Drosophila melanogaster: one gene and its partner. The protein of the gene in region 2 purifies or fractionates together with the protein of the main gene of each other region. This does not show direct contact. Each region holds a gene or a part of one and is shown on either strand. Other genes may lie near its edges.

Region 1 (2,925 bases), on a different chromosome or scaffold from region 2:
CCGTAGGGCTTACCATCAGAGGACCTGCCTCTGATTCCACCACTATGGTAAACTCTTTCAGCGTTTTCGGCCATTCCGGCGGATATTTTTGTTTGCCCAGGTAATCGCTGAGCGAAGTGGTGACCTTCATGAGGTAGCTTGCATAGCCACTTGCCTGTTGTTTGGGCATAAACTTGCGACGACCTATCTGGATGTTCAGTAGAACCTGAGACAGTGTTCGTTCATACACGGGCACCACCTTTAAATAGGCATCGTGGTGCGGAATGTTCTTGATGAAGTCAATCCATGTGCTGAGAACATCACCAGTAAAAAGCATCACATGGCCTTCTAAACTGATGCCCGTAAAGGGAGCAAAAACCACTATGCGACCTTTCAGGGAAGCCATTTCCAACAAATGGGTGTTGGATAGTCGCTCAAGGGTCTTTAAACAGCCACGGTAGTGCTCAATGTTCCAGCCGCACTCGTAACGAGCATCTTGCAACTCCAGTTTCTCTACCAGCATTTTTTTCAGTTTGTCGATTTCGGCCTGCAGATCCGCAGTTTCCTTAGAGCGCTGTTTGGCTGTGCCAGCATTCTCTTCCAGCCAGGTGGTCAGCACTGGACGCTTACTGGCACGTTCCTGGGTTAAGGAAATAAGTATATAAATGGTTTTTTAAATTTCAAAATTATATACCAACATTCTTCAACTGAGTTTCAAACTCGGCGAACTCCATGTCATAGTGATAGTCATGGCTTGGTTTAAAATCCAAGCCAGAGGTTTTTGGCGGCTCAGGCTGGGCCTTAATGTTCTTCACATACTCCGTGGACAAGTTGCATGACTCCAGAAGACCTTGAATAAAGGTTTTGGGATCTCGGGTACTCTGCCAGTCCGTGCGTATTTGGATGAGCTTGAAGGAGTCTCGCTTGTCAGCATCTGAACTGGTGCGTACATAGAACTTGAGCACTTGGGTGTCCCCGCTTCGCTGTCTGCGTTCATACAAAGCCTCTAGATGCTCACTCAGCAATTTCAGTGAGTTCTCGTTGGTGTTCCTCTGCTCCGGATGCTGGGCAAAGAAGTCAGGATGCACCGCGAAGTAGAAGGGTCTCAGCGCCGTTGTCAGATCTGCAAAAGCGCCCAATCACATGATCATCCAAAAGTTGTGGCGCATTCAAATCAACTGACCTTGGTTCAGCGATCGGCGCAAAAGCAGGAAGTGCCGTCTGCTGGTGACCAATTTCCGGATCTTGGAGCCCAACGACATGGACATTATGTAAGCAGTGGGCGGCAGCACAACACTGCACCGCGTCACAGATGGCCAACATACGGGAGCACTGCCGCGAGATTAAGATTTTGGATATATAACTCCTGATCTTGAATTATGAGGTAAAATTGGTAGGACCGCGGCACTGAATGCCAAATATCCATTACTATCTGGGTAATAGTGGTGGCTGTTTGGGTGGGTGTTTTGAGGTCCCTCATGTTGACAAATTGTTCTTTAAATTCTTGCGATAAAATAGTTAATCTTGATAAGTTTGTCATAAAAAAGTTTTAATGAGTTTGTAATTAATAAATTAATTAGTTTTCAACGAAAACAAATGTTTTAATTAATTTTAAACGTTTAGCTATATTCACGCTAACTCTATCCACAAGATTTTGCAGCACTGACGCTGACACTTTTGATGTGGCCAGTTTTTGCGCAGAATTCCGCATTGTTTACCTCGCTGCTAAAAAGTTTTTAGCGCAATTCCAATTATTATTGTTAATAATAGTAAACAAATCATACGACAACATGACTGCCGTTCCACCCCCCTCCAACATCTCTACCCTAATGCCATTGGGTACGTAAATCTGCTACAGGTCTACAAATCGAGAGTTTCTAACTTTTGCCGGCTTCCCGTACTACCCTACAGAATTGGTGGACAAATGCATCGGTTCCCGCATCCACATTATCATGAAGAACGACAAGGAGATGGTGGGAACTCTCTTAGGATTCGATGACTTTGTGAATATGCTCTTGGACGACGTAACGGAGTATGAAAATACCCCCGACGGCCGCCGCATCACCAAACTGGATCAGATTCTGCTCAACGGGAACAATATCACAATGGTGGGTGCTCTTTTTCGAAGTTACATACGTTTGTTTATTAAATTTCATTTATAATTTGATTTCAGTTGGTGCCTGGCGGAGAGCTGGCGGAGTAGCAAGGTTCCATTTGTAAACATAAATACATTTGTAAAATATCAAAACGGTCGTTTTAATGTGGATAATATTGTGTCGTATGTAAATGTTCGAGGTATGTTAGAAGTTAGCAGTGGTCAAGTGATTAACAGCAATGTTAACAGATTTTTGGTCCTAACAGATACGAATTTGAAAACGCTTGGCTTAGGAAATGAAAATTATTTGCCCTCTAATCTCAGAATAAAACACTATATAATATTACCTAATATACAAAACATTGTTAAATTATCAATTGGAATAGAATTAATTTTACATAAATAAGCATATTTTATGCTTATAGGGACCGGATACACTTGAAATGGAATACCGAAAAAGGTCGACCGCTAATAATTCTGTAAAATGACTTCCAAGCTTCAAAAATTCAAACTTCACATTAAATATTTAGTGTCTTTCCGTTAACATTCAACCGCTACTTGTGCTCTGGCTGCCATGCAAAGTAGGCGCATGCGCTCCATCCCCAAAATGTTGGGTCTCAGCGATACAGCAGTCAACATGTGCCATAAATATTAACCGCTTTTCCCTTCTGGCCGTGCGTGTGGGTGCAGTGCACTCTCCGCAGTACCGCTCTGCTCTGCGTGCGTTCTCCCGCTTCCGTTCGGCACCTCCAGCGTTCAGTACGGCAGCAGGCTTCGACGGAAGTGGAACAAACCAAGCGGAAACAGACTCACGCGACAACAAAACCGAACCGAACTCGAATATGGAAAAC
Region 2 (4,528 bases):
GCAATCCGCCCACGACGGAAGACGTATAATAGTTGTACATAACCAGGGAGAATAGGAACAGTGTCATTACCAAAAAGCGCACTGAACGATCTACAGGATTTGGGTCCAATCCCTGTTGGCAGCAGGCTCCAAATGTCTGTAAAATTCGTTCAATGCATGTGGTCTTAATGCAAATCACCGAACTTTTCTGATTTAAATGTTCCAGCTTTTGACTATTAACTCGTATACGCAATATCTTGTAGTCGATAATTTCAAATAGCACCCAAATGATGCTAAAAGCACCAAGGGTTAATAGACAGAACAACCAAACTCTGTCGCTGAATGGCGACAGAAAGTTACCACTTTTTCCATGAGTATCCAAATCGGAAGTGTAGCGGTATAGAAAAGCTGTCTCAAATTTCCAACTTTGGTGTATGGTATCAAACTCAGCAAAGCGATTAATTCGATTGAAGGCACCGGATGCGGCTATATCTGCCTCATTTCGCATAACTATTCCCAAGAGTCCAAGTCGAAAGGTAGTATTGCCCAAACGTCCAGCCCATCCTCTAGAATTTCGGAAGTTAACAGTGAAATTGAAACGTTCTCTCAGAAGTCCCAGAAGCTCGTAGTGATACTTTATGAATGCAGCCACTCCAGCATCCTTAGTTGGTCGCGAAAGTATTGATTCAATTTGTTCATTTGAGATTATATCCTCCTTGTCGATCTAGTATCCATAATTGAAATGGCTAAAATCTAATGAGTTATAGTACTTATTCATTACTTACAACACTTGCTCCTCTTAGAGTTAATCCATTAAATTGTCCGCGAAAATCAATACTTTGCAAATGGAAAATATCGCGAGCTATATTCAATGTATCGTTTATCAATGTTGCTATTAAATTTATTTCCAAATTCGACTTCAAGTGTCGTCCTTTCGAATGAATATCCCAGTACGCATAACCATCTGCGGTTTCATTAACATAGGTTATCTGGGCGTTGGGACCAACATAGTTGAGATTTAAAGGAAATAGGGATTGAACCTCGAGATCAACACCCCAGAGAAACCACTGATAGGTTTTGTTGAAATACCTATTTTCAGAGGCTTCAAAAAGAAGTTCAGATGATCCACTGCATCTGGCATTTACCATCACAGAAGTTCGAGCGTAATTTTCCCGAGTCAATATCGATGTTAGTGAATAACTTTGGTTAAGGTTAACTACGCTCACAAATTGATTAATTCGCATCAATGCAAGAGAGATTTCTTTAAAATCTATCAATAAATATATTATGAATACCTTTATTGTAACTTAGCACATTGCTTACCTTTAAATAAACACGAAAACACTATTGCTTGCTTGGTTTTTACTAGACTTTTAACGAAATTAGTTACAACGGATTCTTCCATACTCGGAATTATTTCACCCTCGCCTGCAGCTAGTATTAAAATAAACATACTGATTAAGAGATTCATTTTACTATTGTTTATCCTGCTGGGAATGTTGTGCCATTTTATAGTAAGGTCTTCTGTTTGATTGACAGCATGAATTGCAGGTGCTAATTACCCATTCTAATTTCAATTGGTTCATAATTTACTATGCAGCTTCTATACCCTCTAATCAGAAATAATTTAATTGATTTAAAGTGTAGCTTTGATTGACAGGTAAAATTGGATCATAAATTTTTAATGAGAAAGTAAACTTCTCCCAACACTTATGGCAAAACTAAACCAGTTAGTAGTAATTTAAACAAAATTCAAGTGGGTAATAACATATGTAAATATTTCTTTAATAAACAACCGAATTATTGAAAATCTTTACCAAAACGGGTAACCTAATTGCAGTAAATTTTAAAACGCCAAAATAACATGTTTAGTTTCTTATTTTATTAAGGCTAATATCAAAAATCATAGCTAGAGTTTTTTTCTTTTTAATTTAATTTATGCAAATAATCCATTTCTGTTAATTAAAAACAAAAAAACAGTACGATTAATATCGATTGTGAGCATCGAATATCAAAATAACTCATATCGAAGACGTAGCATTTCTAGTTTGTTTATGTTTTTGTACAAAATTTATGAGTATGCAATATGTCGTCTACGTTTAGATATAATCTATTAAGGAGTGTAAAGCCATACACTTCATTCACTCCGCAATTGACTAAGTCTATGTTGCGTGTCCTTATTCAAGTGTCTGTGCACTACATTGAATCAAAGAAGTCTTCGTCGGAAGTGCTTTCCCTGGCACTAAATAAACTAACAAATGGAGGTCACGAAATCCCTCCGAACTTTTGTGAACTTTTTACAATGGTTTTCTTGACAATGCAAATCTTTTTAAGATATCCCAAGGGCGTGGTGAAGCATCATGAGCTGCGAAAATGTTTAATGGACGATTTAAAGTAAGTATTCAAATGCATACGTACTTGGAAAACTTGACCGTCACTAACATAATTGTTATTTATCTCGTCAATAGTTTAACAGAAGAATATGTTGAAGATATCTGCAAAGTTTTGCTTAACCATCGAGACGTACTGAGCAAGAACTTTTCAGATACTAAAATGGACCGTGTCAAAATGTCAAAGTTGCAATGGAGAATCAACATTTCCTTATCATTAAAGTAAGTATTTAACCTTACCGCTATTTTATTTTTACTTCACTTTACTAATTTATTTTCTAGTACCGTGCAAATTGATAAACCTACAATAGTCCTCCACTTCAAGCTCCAAAATAAGGAATATCGAACTTTAGAATTGCCACTGTCCATGTTTCAACAAGTGCGCTATAATATTGCTCTCTTACTAAATGAATTGCAGTCATTGCAAAGCCGGTTGGCTTTAAAATAAGTTACATGTTTTTTTTATCCATTTGGTGAAGTATTTAATCCGACTGTCCCGCCGACTGTCCTTTTTGCCATACTCAATCTAGCGCCTTAAAGCCGCCAAGGCGGTCACGCCCACACTTTCAAAACAATTTTAAAATCTTTTCTCCCTATTATTATCCCAGAAAAAGGATGAAATTTACACTAGCTGAGTAACGGGTATCTGACAGTCGGGGAAGTCTACTATAGCATTCTCTCTTGGTTACCATTTAAAATTATGTTATAAGAAATCAAAAAAAAACAGAACACGCTATCTTTATAAGCATGTGTTTCATATTCATTTCGTTCCAACAAAGTGATTGACATCTCTTCCGATTTCATGTTATCGCTGTATTAATCGATTACTTCACGAAAATGGTAAGCAATATTATTTTATGGTAAATAAAGAGAAAAATGATTAATTTTCATGTGTTTTAGCTGCCACTTTCACTTTTAAAAACAGCACAGAGCCATCCCATGGTAAGATGTTTGGATTTGCACACATTAGTCATACACATAATTGTTTAATCTAATTCACTTAGTTGGTGGAGCTGAAAAATGGTGAAACATACAATGGTCACCTGGTTAGTTGCGACTCGTGGATGAATATTAATCTGCGCGATGTTATTTGCACCTCAAAGGTAATATTTTAATTAAATATGTATGTATATGTAATTAATATGTAGATTGCCGGTGTGCAAAATATGCGACAACTGGTATATACATAAATACAATCGCATTGATTTGTAAACAGCCGGAAAAATGATAACATGAAGAGCTTGTTTATACCAATATGTGTATGTGTACTTTGCAGGATGGCGATCGGTTTTGGCGCATGCCCGAATGTTATATCCGCGGGAGCACCATCAAATATCTGCGAATCCCCGACGAAGTAATCGACATGGTCAAGGAGGACGCGCAGGCCAAGTCAAGGAATCGCACAGAGATGAACAAAAACCGCGGCGGCAACTCGTCGCAAAATCAGCGCGGCGGACGTCCTGGTGGCGGCAACCGCAACAATGTCGGCAATCGTCCCGGCCAGGGATACGGAGGTGCTGCTAACAACGCGATGCGCCTGGGTGGCGCTGCTGGCCAAGGGAACCGTCTGCCCCACGCCGCCAAAAATAGGAAATAGTTCTTCGGATCGTAGTAATAAATTCTTTTCAACCATTTCAAGTCACGTATTTATTATTAAAAAGTTGACATTTTTACACAGTCTCGATAATTTCACATCACGAGGTTTTCTTTGCTACTTATTGCCATGGTAATCTGTCTTTTATCCAGCGAGCAATTGGAATGAGTTGGTTTCAAGTTTGAAAAATCACTGGGGGCTTCACTATTGCCAAGCAGACTACACCCTGAACGGGGTTTATTGGATACTATAATTGGATTCATGCGGACACGTCCGGCGCGGGGAGACGGCATCCAAGTGTTTCGCTTGCTGCACAAATGCTTTTAGTAGGCTGAATTTCACTGGACCGTCTGTTTGTTTGTATCATGTAGTTTCATTATATTCGAATTTTATTTTGCCTATATTTACTTTAAGAAATATTTAATAAAGAGTACAGGTAAACAAATGTATTATTTATATGTATTGTAGCTAAACGAATTGACGGCTTTTTAAAAACTCAAGCATGCCCTGAACATTGGCATTGACCTGTGGCGGCTGCGTTTGTTGTCCGTTCAGCAAACTATTG

Evidence for each region.
Region 1: the proteins of CG17768 (region 2) and CG6610 purify together in Drosophila melanogaster (affinity purification with mass spectrometry, with the first as the bait; one large-scale study listed by BioGRID). This does not show direct contact.

What each region holds. Positions count from the first base shown.
Region 1 is NT_037436.4:6,073,871-6,076,795, forward strand, and holds CG6610 (uncharacterized protein), read left to right. Parts: upstream 1-1,665; 5' UTR 1,666-1,769; coding exon 1,770-1,818; intron 1,819-1,890; coding exon 1,891-2,087; intron 2,088-2,152; coding exon 2,153-2,182; 3' UTR 2,183-2,388; downstream 2,389-2,925. Other genes in the region: CG13295 (uncharacterized protein), read right to left, coding at 1-619, 678-1,102, 1,163-1,247.
Region 2 is NT_033779.5:10,402,674-10,407,201, reverse strand, and holds CG17768 (uncharacterized protein), read left to right. Parts: upstream 1-1,998; 5' UTR 1,999-2,065; coding exon of another isoform or gene 2,066-2,373; intron 2,374-2,447; coding exon of another isoform or gene 2,448-2,591; intron 2,592-2,651; coding exon of another isoform or gene 2,652-2,817; 5' UTR 2,818-3,206; coding exon 3,207-3,209; intron 3,210-3,269; coding exon 3,270-3,311; intron 3,312-3,373; coding exon 3,374-3,472; intron 3,473-3,645; coding exon 3,646-3,966; 3' UTR 3,967-4,005; downstream 4,006-4,528. Other genes in the region: Ir31a (ionotropic receptor 31a), read right to left, coding at 1-703, 765-1,249, 1,303-1,450; LSm-4 (uncharacterized protein), read left to right, coding at 2,066-2,373, 2,448-2,591, 2,652-2,817; Cnot4 (CCR4-NOT transcription complex subunit 4), read right to left, coding at 4,432-4,528.